Lonchura striata: one gene and its partner. The protein of the gene in region 1 interacts with the protein of each later gene in a biochemical or structural test. Links are inferred from orthologs where the notes say so. Each region holds a gene or a part of one and is shown on either strand. Other genes may lie near its edges.

Region 1 (7,124 bases):
GGTGGGTGCAGAGAAGCAAGGCTGCACACAAGCTGCCCACACATCCCACCTCTCAGAAGCACAGCAAGCAGTACCTAAATATGGACTGAAAAAGACCTTATTTTGGAAAAAAAAAAAAATCCAAATAAAGGCTGGCCAAGGGTTTGTGAAGGGAAATAAAAAAAGACAGAGCCACAACTCCTCTCAGGCAAATGATCATGGACCAAATCTCAGTCCCTGCAGGAGCTTCCCAGGGTACAGGACATGTGAGAGCAAGTTAAAAACACATCATCAAATAACTGCCAGTCAGACAATAGAAGGAAAAGGCATGTAAAGGGTTGCTCTCACCCTCCTCCTTCCTCACCCTTAGCCAACACCAGGTGCTGACATCAGACACTCCAGAAGAAAATCAAATTGCTTTTTCTGCTCTGTTATAAACAAATTTAGGGCCACTAGCCAATTCTGATTCTCACTAAAGCTTTATTATTATTTTAAATTACTTACTGCAAAATAACTGTTCCAACATGAAATTAAGGAACCACCTGGTTGCAGCAAAGGCATCAGAAAGGTGCTGCTCCTCATGGACCACGATGGCTTCCTGCAAGACTCCAGCAATTTCCCCTTTGATGTATTCACAGGGCACAAACAGAGAGAAGATAAACTAGAAGCTTCTATCTTATATCAGTAACTGATATCTTCCTTCTTATGCCATTTCAAGGAATAACACTTGTGGTAATGCCAGCATTTAAGTGCATTCCCCTGAAATTTCTTTCCCTGAAGGTTTGATAACCTGCTTTAAATCAATTTTCAGAGAAGAAATAACTGTAAAACCCAAGTTCAGCTGGCTGAAATTTCACTTAATCATGTAAGAGATTTCTCAAATCACTGCTGGAGATAAAACCCACTCCTTTAGAACACCTTTCCTCCACCACAAAAGAGCACTTCCTAATTTACAGGAATAACAATGTCAAAATGACACCACCTTTTACACTTTGTTACTATTTAGAGTAATAAAAATTTTAGGAGAAACACAAGATTGCAGACTACTTTATGAAAGAGTAATTTCACCAGCAATGATCACCTACCTAGTACTTATAATTTCATTCACACACGTGAAACAGCATCTTCAGCAGTTCAAAGAATGTGCAATTCTGATACCAGCACACTCTTTCTCAGCTGCAAGAGCTCAGGAGACACCTGTCAACAATAGCATTTTCTGTGGTAGGAGTTCAAGCCTCTCAAAATAAGAAGAGCATCATGGCCTCCAGGAAAAGTGAATTTATTAAGTGTTTTCCACGAAGATCAGAGCCTCAACACTAATTTTCAATAATCCTGAAAAGGATGATGTTATATGTATCAAGACAAAACTAAAACGCAAATGAGTACGTAAGTGAACCCCTTCAATCTTCTCAAGTTAGGAAAGTTAAATCTTGGCAAAACCAAATTCAATCACACTACCTCTCAAACTTTCATTCAATCAGCTGAAGCAGAGTCTACACCAATCTCTGTAAATTTTAACAGGTCTTTCAAAGGGATCTGACCTTGGCCCCGTCCCACAAGGAGCTCTGACCAAGCCTGGGGCTCGCCTCCTCTCCAGAGGGGAGGGTAGATCCAGGGCTCAGTATCCCAGCCAGCAAACCTGGCACCAAGACGGGTGATGGGGACACTGTGAGATGTCACCCACATACTGCACCCCCAGGCCTGGGAGAGGCCAGACACACTTCCCCACTGCAAAAAAACTGATTTTACAGGCTTAGTGCTACCTGATGGCAGAAGGACAGGAGGAAGGGCCTCCTTCAGCCACAGGCAAGGTCAGGGCAGGTACACAGAGGGGACTGTTGGGGGGAACTCTGCAGCAAACCCCTGAGCCTGGATCAGGGATCCCAGAATCGCTGGGGTGTGCTCAGCATCAGAGGGTAACAGTGACCCTGAGAAAAGGGCTCTCAAGCAGCAAAGGAAGGGGAGCCCACAGACTCAAACTCAGAGCGTTCCAATTTCTGGCTAAGCTGGGCTGGATGTGGCCATGGGACACAAGTCACAGGGCTAACACTCCTGTGAGCATCATGAGGTGGTTGGAAATGAAGTTCCCTGGTTACCTGCGAGCCTCTGGCATGAGCTCACGCTTATCAAATGGTAGAGACAGCACGGGAGGGAAAACAATAATTCCTGAGTGATTAAAGACACTCGAAAGAGAGCTCCCACCCTTCGAGCTGCAAACACAGGCAGCTCGAAACACAACGCCGTACGCAAACAGGGACGCTTTTGTCCCAGCAGCTATGGGCACACCAGCCTCGCCGTGACATCCACACTTACCATCTTCCACCAGTGCCAAATCAGCAGAGCTTCATCCAACCAGTGCAACTGCTGGTGCCTGTCCCCAGCCAGCCTCACTGGAGGCATCGTGCAGATTTACTGAAAGGAGGGATGCGGGGAGGCACTGTCCTTCTGTGTGCAGAGAGCCCCTGGTCAGCCCGGGGAACGCTTCCAAAGCCAGTGGAGCTGCACTAACTTGAACCACGGTCCAGCTCAGACCGCAGGCACCTCGGGGCTGAGATTTCTAGAGAGCATCACGCCAAATAAAGAAAACCAGCAACAGGCAGGAAAGGCTTTCATTGCGAGAAAGCCACCCAGCAGCTCGGCAGAAGGGGTTTTGCCAGCACGTTCGGTAACTCGGGCTTTTCTCATAACCCAAGAACGGCGGGTGCGGAAGGGACGTGGCAGGGTCACATTCAGCAGCGCCGGGGACGCTGAAGTTCAGCGCATCGCCGAGCCCCCAAGCCAGGACCGCACCGACCCAAACCCACCCTTTTCACAGCACGACAAACGCGCGAACCACCCCGAGTGTGTCCGACAGGCGACAAACACCGCTCCGCAGCAAAGCCTGCCCTAGCAAAGAGCCCGGGCAGGGCATTCACTTGCAAACAGACGCCGAAGGCACCGCAGTGCCCCGGGCCGGGCGCCCGCTCCGGCCACCCCGCGGCCGCCCGCACCCACCTCCGGCCCCCGCGGCCGCGGGTGCCCCATGGTGCCCTCAGAGCCAGCCGGGTGCCCGCAGAGCCAGCCGGGTGCCCTCAGAGCCAGCCGGGTACCCTCTCGCGGGGCACCAGCAGCCGGTGAAGCCGCCCGAAGAGCTGCCCTGCAGCGGCCCCGCCCGCCGGGCGCCGGGCCCGCCCCGCGCCCGCCTCCGCTGAGGGCAGCGCGGCCACTCCCGGGAGCGGGACACGGCCCAGGGGAGGGACGGGCAGCCGCCCGCCCCGGCTGGCCGTGAGGGGACGCGGGGGGCGCAGAGTGAGCCGAAGAGGAGTAACTCGATTGTTTCAGCCCAACTTTGCGGCGTGCGGAGGGGATCTGAGGCTCCTGCGCGCTCCGAGCGCCGCTCCCACAGGGAGCGCGGTTCTCCGCTCCGTGCCCGGACGCTCCAGGAGGGAGAAGCCAAGGTTCTCCACCGTCACCGGGAAACTGCGTTTGGCCAGGGAAACAGATTGAAAAAGCCTGTGCAAATTAACAATTATTAATTGCACATGCGATGCTTTTTTTTTAGCGTAAGACAACCCAATAATTACAGTCCGGTGCTGTTTGGATCCTAGCTGTCCTCCCCTACACATGTTGCATTTACCATGTTACTTCCCGTATGCCCTTTTTAATATGCAAGGATTGGATTTTTTTAGCGAGAGAGAAAATGTTTGTGCTTGAAGAAGCATTGAACTGACATGCAGATAAGCAAAATCCCCAGCAGGTTCCAGCTATAACCCAGCCCTGAGTGCTGGTGAAACGCCCCAAAATTTGTCTGCAGCACTGCAGCTCTCACTGCTGTGCCTGTACAGGGAGATCTTGGCGATTTCTTCCAGCGAACTCAGTGATTCCACTTCTATATCTACAGCAAGACTTCAACATGGTTATTAGGATATTTTTCTTCCTTAAATGATTTTAATTTTTATTTCTTCAAATCATGGAAAACTGAACCACAGTCATCCAATGTAGGTAAGATAAATAACCTAACTTTGATGAATGCTGGTTCAGAGGCAGCCTCTGTCCCCTACTCTGGCAGTTCAATATTGAAGCATTACATTCTCCACCAGAGCAGCCCCTGCCTTGTTTATGAGCACACCTGTAACACACTGGCTCAGCTCGTTTACACTGGATTTACTGTGACTTGGTTACCAACACCTTAACAAAACCAGCGTGATACACGTCACACCTCAAATCAAATTTACAAATCTAAGGTGGGTTCCCAATAGCATTGCAACACGGCTTCCTTCAGCTCGTGGGGCTGGGCTCACACACTGCCCTGTTCGGCATTGGAGAGCTGTGAGCCAAGGTGGCTCAGCAGTGCTGGCTGCACTGAGCACAGAAAAAGTCAGCACAGACATTTGTGGCACTCAGTGTCAGGAGAGAGCAAAGCAAGAGAGGAAGCTGGGGTGGAACACTGCAAGGCAATGGGAAATACTCAAAATTGCCCAATATCACTGCCATTTCCACCCCAAAGAGTGGGCAGAGCCATTGTTCCAGACAGGCACGTTACCCACACTGCAGAGAAGTTTCATGCTAAACATATGGAATGGGAATGAGTGGAGATACGACACGGGGAGCATCCCTCAGGGCTCCCTCCTGCCCAAGATGCCAAATCTCTGCCATCCTCCCTGGGCACACCTCTGTAAATCCCCCAGTTCCCTGGGACAGGAGGACAGCAGGCTGCAGAGGATCCCTGCCACCTCCCATTTCTGCACAGCTCTCCATGTGTGTTGATGCAGAGCAGGGATATATCAGACACAGAGAAACACAATTTTCTCTGCAGACAAACCCCTTCTCTCCTGCCCAGAGTTCATTTCAGTGCTCTTCCCCTATGCAACTAGCTGATTTCTGGCAAATCTTTCCAAATCCATAAACCTTAACTCACCTAATGTGTATTTAATCTCCTTGCTATAGGTTTATGTTGGCAGTGAACAGGGCTAGACCAGTAGCAGAAGACAGCAGGCAGTGTAGGTGAGCATTTTACCCTCTACTTTGCACAATTCCCCCTCTGCAGCACCACAGCAGAGCAGAAGCACCACTGTCTGTGCCCATGTCCCATTAGTGGCTTTCTACACTTCCCAGAACCTTCTTTGTCCCAGAGGCAATTCATGAAATGGATTCTTGGCACATACCCTCAAAAAAATCTTGAGCTCTGAGAGGCACAGTATTATCTGTTGGGAGTTTCTTTGGTTCTCTCCCAGCTGCTTTTCATTCTTCAGGAACTTCCACACATCCCTCAGAGGATGCTTAGTGTCATCACAAGGGTGTGAAGTTTTCTTATTTAAGGTAAGACTCTGGTGCAAAGAGTGCTCTGAGTGACAGTCAGGGATTGAGGCTGCTGCAGTCTGTAAAACCAAGGTGCTAATATTAGCAATCTTTATTTTATTGTTATTATTTAGTTGTACTTAATTTTTTTTCCTTCTCTCTAAAAATTTTCACTTCCATGCCCAATGAGGTAGCCAAAAGTGCCATGTAAAGACATCTGCAGAAGGGCTCTTGACAAACTAAAGCCTATGCTGCTGCACACCAAACCAAATCCACCAGCTGAAAGATAATGCAGTAAAAAAACCTTGGAAAATAAGGACATTATCTTCAATCTCGGTCACCACTTGACATCACAACACAGGGAGAAGGGGGAGGACCAGAGAGCTGCAGGACACTAGAGAAATGCCAAACAAGAAAAGGCTTTATGTGGGGAAAAAAAAGGGGAAAAAATAAATGCCAGACTAAGAGCAGGCTGGAGTGAACATGTGACAGCACAAAGAAGTGTCACCTTCTCCAAACCTCTCAAACCATTTTTTCACAACCTGAAAAATACTCTCTCCTTCCTCTGTGCCAAAAAGCAGTTTTGCCAAGATGTTGGAGTGCAGGAAGGATCTCAGCAGAGCCACATCAGGAATCTGTCTGACATGTTGAACACAGGTGACACCTAAACAGAGGGTTTTACCCATAGAGATTTTTACCACCCCTTTGCTTTTCCTTTGTTAAATTAGCCCAGCTACACCAGTACAAACTCCAGCCCTCTGTTATTCACAGTGTCACCAAAAATGGGCTATTCCCCTGCCCAATGCTCCTGATACTGTCCACAGCAATCCACACATCAAAAATGGAAAAATAAAAAAAATCAAATGCCAGGGTGAGCCTGGAGTGTCTTTCATGCCTGCAGGCATTGAAAGGGCCTTTTTCCTCCTTATAGTTCCCCTTTAGCCAGGCAGGGGCTCCCTGAAACCAAGTGTGGATCATGTTGGTGCCTCTGCAAAGCAGTGGGGGTCAGAGGGAAACCAGGGGAAAAAAATAAATAATTGTTTCTCCTGTAGTTGGGTCACATTTGGGAAGGAACCTGCAGAGCCCCAGGAGAGGGAGGAATCAGCTCTATCATCCTTGGTGGGATGATGGTTTACTTTGGCTGTGTGTAAAGCCAGGCTCCAGCTTGGGACACCACCGTGCCTCCTGCTCCTGCACCCTGTCCCCAACCTCTGCTGAAGATGTCCTGTCTACAGAGCAAAGGTTTTTGTGCCCCACAGCACAGGGCCTCTGCAGCTCCTTAAGACAAAAAGGATATTTTACCCTGTATCCCAGAGTGTCACCTCACTAGGGACTGGAAATGCGTTTCGCTGTCGCCATTTCAGAGAGTGTGCACCAGACATTCCAGAAAAACCCTGTGGATCCACACTGAGGCAGCCACTGGTGACACTGCCAAGGATGGAGCAACCCAAGACAACCCAAAGTGAGCCAGCTGGCATGCACAAAAAAATTTAAATTATTATTGTTTTGTCCCATAAGACCAGTATTCCAAAAGGAAAAGGCAGGGTTGCTTGTAGAAATCACATTGTCAAGTACTTTTTTTTCCTCCTCTTCCTTTCAAGGACCACCATTGTCCTCCTAACTCTGAGGGCACAGTCAGGGGAGGAAGTTTTGTTTAAAGGCACTTCAGTATCAAGTGCCTGACTGGACCACGGGGCCTCCTGGGAGTTGTAGTCTTATCTTCTCCCATAAAAACTGCTTTTTCTGGCATAATTCCACAGCGGTGTAATACCTCCCATAACACAGCAACAGCTCCCCTGCACAGTCAGGGGACAGTGGGACCCCTGGACTTTGGTTGCTACAAGACAACGCCGGGGGCTGCTCAGGAT
Region 2 (8,222 bases), on another chromosome or scaffold:
AGCAGATGCCCACTGCCTCAAGGCAGCCATCACTCTCTGTTATGTAAAGTGGGAGCCACATCCCAAATCTGCCCTTAGGCTAGCCAGTTATATACCTCAAGAGTAGTATGTCCTTGAAGCCTAGTTATTACTTACACAAAAGCACAGAAAAAAACATGAAGTTACAAACTTGAGAAGTATGAGTATGTTAATAATTAGGCAAGTGATTGTTTAGCATGTTCTTCACTCATTGTTACTTCTGGTACAAACTGAAGGTGGGTAAAAGCTTCAAGCTCTTTCATTTTAATGGGGAGGTTGATTCTGCTCAGAATACATGTGGATTTGGGCTGGGTGATTTCTTTTCAACTGGCCTGCTACTGAGAAACTCCATTAATTCACAAATACATTTTATCCATCCTTACACACTGGTAATAAAGTGTTGTCTAATAAATTTTAATACAGTTCTGCCATCAGCGTAAAAGAGAAGAAATTAACCATAAATACCAGGAAACCTTACCTCCATGTATTGATTTCAGTTCAGCAGTACTTCATAACACAAAGGCTCACACACCCACAAACCCAGCAGATGCCACAGTAATCAATTCTGGGCAGAAAGGGCTGAAATAGGAGGGTGCCCTCAAGAACCAGTAGGTGGTTTTGTTCATTTACTCTTTTGTCCCTTCAAAAAATTAAGTCTCTCTCACCCTGGAAGATTTATTGAGCACTTGAAGGAAGAATGGATGTTTTATGCATGATAAGATGGTTTTCCAAAGAATGTGGTTCATTTATTCATGTCAACAGAAATCTAAGATAAAATTACAGTGCTAAATTATGCATACTTTAAATATAAATTGTGTGCTACTAAATGTGCACTAAAGGGAACAAGTACTTTTTGCGCTGTGGGAATGGAAGTTGCACATCAATGTTTTTCCCTAAGTTTCAGACATGTTTTGTCTGACATGTCCACTGTAGCTTTGGCTTTTTAAAATAAATGAAATATTTGTCAGTTGATTTCTTAGTTGTATTAAGGTACATAATGCAAGTACTACTAGGACACAATTAATTACATCTCTACCTAATTATTCTTCACATTTTTTTCCTTTCAAGAATTTTATGTGCAGAGCTGTAATGGCACAGATGCTAATACATAACAAAGGACATTCATTACCTACACCCTTCCTAGCCACATTGCAAATATCTACTACACTACCTGTATGGTTTCATTCATTACCTGCACGCTTTATAGCCACATTGCAAATGTCTACTAAACTACCTGTATGGTAAAACCTGTATGGTTTTAGGTACCTATTGTAGCATTTGAACACCAGAGAGTAATTTAAACCTCTTGTTGCCTTGGGCTGTGGACCCTAGGTTCCTGTACAGACAAAGAAATAGTTGCAATACCTACTTTCCTCTGACCAGTTGCTCTCTTACACAGAGGAGCCAGAGTCATGCCATAAAATATACCAGGTGCTCCAGAGATGCTCTTGCTACAGTCACTTGTTAGAAATTGAATAGGAATTATTAATGTAGTGCATTTTCATGGAAATACGTCTTTTAGTTTTGGGTTAAAGAGCTCATTTTTTTTCCACTTGGTTTGGGTAAGATGCCAGGGGACAGATCCAAGCAAAAAATGAAAGGTATACTATAAACTGTTTTTTATTGCATTACAACATGCACTTTGGGCCACAAAACAGAAATTCAAAATAAGGTTGTATTTTTTTTTTTTTTAAGATAGCTCTAAAGAGAGATTAAAAGGACAAAGACCACATTCATTAACAAGCAGCATGGTGCAAAATGGGGATGAAATCTCTCCCACTGTAAAATGAAGAGCAGGTTCAAGACCACCTGATTAAACTGAATAGCCACAAGTCTATTAGGGCCTGATGAGATGCATCCCAGGGTCCTGAGGGAACTGATGTTGTTGCCAACCCATATGTGGAAAACCCTGGCAGTCAGGTGAAGTGCTCAGTGACTGGAAAAAGAGAAACATCGTTCCTATTTTTAAAAAGGGAAGAAAGGAAGACCCAGGGAAGGACATACCAGAGACCTCCCCCTTCTTGGGAAGACTGTGGAGCAGACACTCATGGAACAATGTTAAGCACATACAATACAAGGAGATGATCCAAGACAGCCAATATGGCAAATCATGCCTGACCCATCTGGTGGCCTTCCACAATGGAGTGACAGCAACAATTAACAAGCAAAGACTGACAGATGTCAACTACCTAGACTTCTGTAAGCTGGTCCCACATGACATCCTTATCTCCAAAATGATGACACAGATTTGATGGATGGAATATTCAGTGGATAAGGAATTGGCTGGGTGGATGCAGCCAGAGTTGTGGTAAGTACTTTTATGTCCAGGTGGACACTGGTGATGAGCTGTGTCCCTCAGGGGCCTGTCATGGTACCAGGGCTCTTTAATACCTTCCTTTATCAATGACACTGTCAGTGGGATTGAGTGCACCCCAGCAAGATTCCAGACCTGTGAAGCTGAGTGGTGCAGTTGGTTCAACAGAAAGAAGAGACCATATTCAGGTGGGCAAGCTTGAGAAGTGAGCCCATGGGAACCTCAAGTTCAACAAATCCAGGTGCAAAGTGCTGCACCTGGGTCAGGGCAATACCAGACGTGAGTTCAGACTGGGAGAAGAACTTGTTGAGACCAACTGAGCTGAGAAGGACTTAAGAGGGTTCACTTGCAGCCCAGAAGGCAAATGGTATCCTGGCTTGTATCAAAAGAGGGGTGGCTAAGGTACGTGATTGTCCCCTTCTACTCTGCCCTTATGGGACCCGAAGTAGAGTGCTGTGTCCAGGTATGGAGTCCTTAGCATAAGAAAGATGTGGACTTGCTATAGAGAGTCCAGAAGAGGCCACAAAAATGGTCAGAGGACTGAACCATCTCTCCTACAAAGGCTGAGAGAGCTCAGGTTGCTCAGCCTGGAGAAGAGAAGGTTCTGGCAAGAGCTCATTGAGGCCTTCCAGTACCTAAAGGGTAAAAAGAGCAATGTCTTACATGGGCATATTAGTGATAGGACAAGGGGGAAATGGTTATAAACTAAAAAATTAGATTTAGATTAGATCTTAGGAAGAAATTCTTTATTTTGAGAGTGGTGAGGCACTGGAATAGGTTGCCCAGAGATACTGCAGACACCCCATCCCTGAAAGTGTTAAAGGCCAGCCTAGATGGGGCACTGAGCAACATGGTCTAGTGGATGTCATCTTGCCCTTGACAGGGGATTTGATATTAGATGATCTTTAGGGTCTCTTCCAACCCAAACCATTTTATGCAAAGGGACATTTTCAGAGAGTGAAACAGCTGCTACCAACATCTGGGTAAGTACACTGTGTGTCTTACAGGACAAAGGTTATTTTGGACTAGCTCTAGTATTGCAGGAATAAGGAAGTACTGAACGGCTGCAGACATCAGTATTAATGAGACCTTAACTAAGACTAACCCACTCTTTTGCAACAGAAGTGTTCTGGAATAAGTATTAAAAAGTTATACAGCACAGAGATACTCAAAAGGCTGCAGAAGTTGGGCCAGGATTTCTTGAGGACTCCTGAATCATTATTTGTACAGGATCATGCAGAGACTCTTTCAGTCTTTTCATGGTCTCATGAAAAGTCTTATGACATATACTATGAAAATTTTCCCTTTCATGAAATATCAAAAATGTTTTATTTTCAATGTTTGGTTGACTCAGTGTTACTAGCTTTCCTTTCTTCTCCTCCTTTTTTTCCCTGCCCTCTCCATTTAAGAGAATCCAACCTTTCTCTGTGTAAATGGATGTATTTAGATATTTTAATCAGAATTAATTGCATCTGGATTGCTATCAGTTTATCAAACTCTCAGGAATTTGCAAAAATTAGCTCATAATGAAATGTGAGGCCAACAAAACGAAATTCCAGAGGAATATGGACTGAACACTGGCTAAATTATGTCAAAATGTCAAGTTGTCAAAAATTTCAGAAACCATCACAGAGAACAATGAAAATTTTAACGTGCACCTGCTTTGCAAGCAAAGCGCACGTTCCATGAGGTGAATACCAAGGTCAAAGTTTTCATCTGAGGTGATAAAATCTGGAATTTCCAGACTTGGAAACTACCTTCAGCCAAACACTTATGTGGGTGAGCGGATGCTTCAAAACAATTAGTATTGTCTGTGCGTGGTTATAGTGTGAAAACCAAAGACACACACTGAGCAGTCAGTTTTGTTATATGCATATTATGCTTAGCTTTCATTACATCACTTACATCATGAGTTTAAATCATGTTGTGTTTGGGCAAAGCTCCTCTGTGTGTCCACAATTTAGGAGTAAAAGATACAGTTATTAAGGCACTCTTGCTGTTATTATTTGAATGATTGTAATTAACATGGAAAAGATCTTATCTCCCCATTCTTTTTGGCATCTGTAAAATCCTCCATACATGGAGTGGTCCATTACTATAAAAAAGAAATTAAAAAAAAAAAAAGCAAAACTCTCTTAAGAGCCTCACCGCTTCATGTTCCCTTCTGCCAGTGATCATTTTCCTTAAACTCAGTATATTAAATGTTGTCCCAGCTTACACTTCTGTCCTGAGGAATGCTCCACTAAAAATAATTGTGTTTATAAACCTAGCGACAGATGTCGGGAATTTATCTCCTTACCATGGCAGGACACGCCTCCTCTATTCTCCAGATGAGGGATTAGCTGGGAAGAAGGAGGGACAGACATCGAGCTACAATGCTTTCTCACTATCTATCTCCCTTAAGTTTCGGCTGAAACAAAGGAGGAGGTGCAGGAAGGAAAGCAGCTGCCGTTTGAGGCTCGGAGTTACGGCGCCGTGGGAGAAGCGGGACACGACTCCCCGGCGGAACGACGCGCCCCGGGAAGGCGCCGGCCGCGTCCCGCCCGTTACCCGCCCCCGCCGCGCCCCGCCGGGCCCGGCCCCGCTCGCGCCGCGGACGGAAGCGGCCGCCCCCTTCCGGGAACCGGGTCCGGCCGCGCCGCCCCGCTCCTCCTTGGCCCGCCCCGCGCCTGCGCGCCTCGGCGCCTGACACGGCGCTCCGCCCGCGGGGCGGGGGCGGCGGGGCCGCACCCGGTGACGACGCTGCGGCCCCTGCGGCGGCGCTCCCCGCCCCGCCCCGCCCCGGCCGCGCCCGCCCTCCGCCCCGGGCCGCGCGCGCCGCCGGCCGTGCGCGCGGGGGCGGCGCCAGGGCCTCACCTCGCGCGCTCCGCCCCTCCCCGCGCGCTCCTCGGGCGCCGCCGGCACCGCCGCCGCAGGTGAGACGGGGGCGCGCGGCCGGGCCGGGCCGCGCCGGGCGGAGCCGCCAGGGCTGGGGCCGGGGGGAGCCCGAGGACCCGGCTCCGCCCGCGCCTCGGGAGCTCTCCGGTGTGGGGGAAGCTGCCGTGCGGCGCGGGCGGGGGCTTCCGGCGGCTCCGCGCCCGCCGCTCTGCGCCGCCCGGGAATCGGTGTCGGGGTGCGGCCGCCGCCTCGCCGTCCCTGGCCGGCGGGGTACGCCTGCCGGCCCCACCCCGGCGTGTGGGGACGGGCGGGCGGCGCCCCGAGCCTCCTGCCGGGGGCCTGGTGACCGCTCCCTGAAGGTTACGGGCGGCGACCTTGGCCACCTGCGTTCGCGGCCCGCCCGGGCGCGGGAACAGCGGGCAGGGGGCGGCGGGGCCGCGCCGGGCTCCGGCCGCCTGTTGCGGCGGGGCCGGGGGCGGCGTCCCGGGGCCGCGGGCGGCGGCGGGCGCCGCCCGTACCTGCGCAGGGTGGGGCGCGGCGCGGCGGCGCCCCGAACAAAGGGCCGCGCCCGGGGCCGCGGGGAAGGGGGTCGGGGTGCTCGCCCACCGGCCCGGCGGGACCGAGCGGCTGCTGCGGCGGCGATTCCTGCTCCGGCCGGGTGCCGGAGACCCTGCGCGTGTATGTGGGCGCTGCGGTTCTAGGGTGAGTAAGAACAGGGCTCCTGTAGCATTTAATAGCTGCCCACTTTCATGTGCTGGGCTTTTCTGTAGTTACTGGTAATAACTAGATCTTGTGTTTGCTTGTAACACAAGGGAGAAGTGCGAAGTATACTTTTAAGTTCCCCAAATGAAAGAGCCTTTCGATGCTCACGTATTTGGTTAGGTAAGAGATTTGGTGTTTGCTTTTAGGTTTCTTTTAAGGGGAAGTCAATAGCTTCAGCTCCTTCTTAATTGAGTCTTTAAAATGAAAATGTTAAGTGGGCCATACGTATCCCAAGAGCCACCTGAGGAGCGATCTGTGTGTTTGTTTTGCAGCATCCCCAAACCGTCGTGGCAGAAAGCTTGTCAAAATGGTTTTTTTTTTCAGACTCAAAAGGACCCTGATGTTTTGTTTTGTGCTTTCATTTCCAGCTCTTATTTGAAAGAGACTTGCATTCTGCACTGCAAAACATTATACGTCCGGAAGTGTAAGCAGTATGTGCCTCTGCTGGCATTTCAGTTCACATACAGTTTTATGTTCAGATCTCTCCATAACCTATCGGTTGTTCTTTGTCCTTTCCACTGAAAGTTAAACTGAAAAGAAAGGCAAGCCTGAGAGAGGGGCTGCACTAGGAGAAGATCCTGCTCTTCTGTTAGTTTTCAGGGTAATCAGTAGTGATTATAACTGGATTTTTAATTTTAAATCCACTTCTTTTTGGCTGACTTGTTAATCTAATAGCATGTACCTCAACATTTAAGTCCTGGGAAACTGTGAGCATTCTTAATAGAGTGAAGAACAACTGTTTGATATGTCGATCTCTGGTGTAAATATAAATCCTTCAGTCTGTGTTTGCATTACAGTTTGTCAAACATTTTTTGTGGCAGCCTCCAAATGGTGGAAATTTGAGAAGTCCTGTTTACTCTTTATTCTTTTCTGTAGAAATAGGAGAACGTGACATAATGTTGCACAAAAATATCAAAAAAAGCTTTCAGTCCACTGCATGAGGGGTTAACTATGAGGTTAAATAAGCTGTGTTGCTGGATAGTGAGTGTACTACTCAACTATTGCAAATTCCTTGATCTTGGTCTTTGCTTTTTAGTGCTCTTTTGAATTTGAGTAAGGGAAAGATTACAAACATCCTAAGGTGAAGTATTTTGAGTTGTGTGTTCTTTGACATTGTTGTGATAATGCTGTGGGGTTTTTTTTGGTTTTTTTTTTTTTTTTTTGTCCTTAACGAATCTTTAGCCATGAAACTGAAAACTGGAATGTTCCCTAGCTGTGCATTCTTTGTAATGTCTGTCACCTGTGGTCACGTACTCTTTAGATAAATAGCCCATAGAAACAGTAGGCTATTGAGGGGAAAGGGATGGGCGTGGGGAGGTGGGGTAAGGAGAGTTGTGGCTGTGAGGATAAGGCAGTGCTGGATAAAGGTGACCAAGGAAGAGCACAAGACTGTTAAATAAGTGTGGCTGGAGATCTTGCAGTGGTCCATGTGTCTTCTGTGTTCAGACTGACTTCTAGTTCTCATAAAAACAGTTGTGTTCTTAACCTCAGTTACTAAGGCATGCACTGACATCCCTGTTTCTACTTTTTCTGAGGGATTACCCCGAAACAAAGATGTTCCATCTAAGAAGTGGTTTTGCTCCTGTTAACTTTCAAGTGTATCTGACTTGGATGAAGATAATTGCCAAGGCAAAAAAATGCAGATAACTTAGAAACTGATATATGGCAGTCTCTGATACCAAAGGATACTGTAGGTACAGTGTCTTGTGTGAAAAGTTGTTTAGGCACTGCATTTCAGCCAACTGAAAACAGCATTATTTTTGCTGCAGTTTTATATATGAAGAAGAAATAATTATATGAGAAAAATCTTTTAACTTTGTGATAAGATTTGGTTGCTTTGCCATCCTAGGGAGTACTGTAGGATATAGAAGTCCTGGGAATCAGTGGTTGATAACATGTCTTCTAGATAGGGAACTCCCCACCCCCTTGAAAGTGCTTATAGCCAGCTTCCAGTAAACTTCTAATGGCTCCAAGCTACAGAAATTACTTTGCATCTAAATTGAAATCTGTTTTATGTGAACAAGGTAGTTTAGTAGGCTAGTGACAGCATTCTTGTGAACATACTGTAGCCTGCCTGCCTCAAACGCACAATTACAGGACAACTGTGTTAAGCCTCCTTTCTACCTTAGGAAGAATTTATGTGAGGAACCAAGTAAATAGAGCAGTTGGTATTATGTTTGTCCACTAAATGTTCTGCAAAATATTTATATTGCTAAGTAGGGAAGCAATTGTTACATTTTATTAGTCTGTT

The links.
Region 2: the proteins of PLD1 (region 1) and RALA form a complex in vitro, tested with the Homo sapiens proteins (2 studies listed by BioGRID). The link is inferred for Lonchura striata from reciprocal best matches to the Homo sapiens genes PLD1 and RALA.

What each region holds. Positions count from the first base shown.
Region 1 is NC_134612.1:22,659,539-22,666,662, reverse strand, and holds the start of PLD1 (phospholipase D1), read right to left. Parts: upstream 3,142-7,124; 5' UTR 2,974-3,141; intron 1-2,973. UniProt on the Homo sapiens protein: Function as phospholipase selective for phosphatidylcholine. Implicated as a critical step in numerous cellular pathways, including signal transduction, membrane trafficking, and the regulation of mitosis.
Region 2 is NC_134603.1:103,340,744-103,348,965, forward strand, and holds the start of RALA (ras-related protein Ral-A), read left to right. Parts: upstream 1-5,152; 5' UTR 5,153-5,247; intron 5,248-5,786; exon of another isoform or gene 5,787-5,911; intron 5,912-6,339; exon of another isoform or gene 6,340-6,395; intron 6,396-8,222. UniProt on the Homo sapiens protein: Multifunctional GTPase involved in a variety of cellular processes including gene expression, cell migration, cell proliferation, oncogenic transformation and membrane trafficking.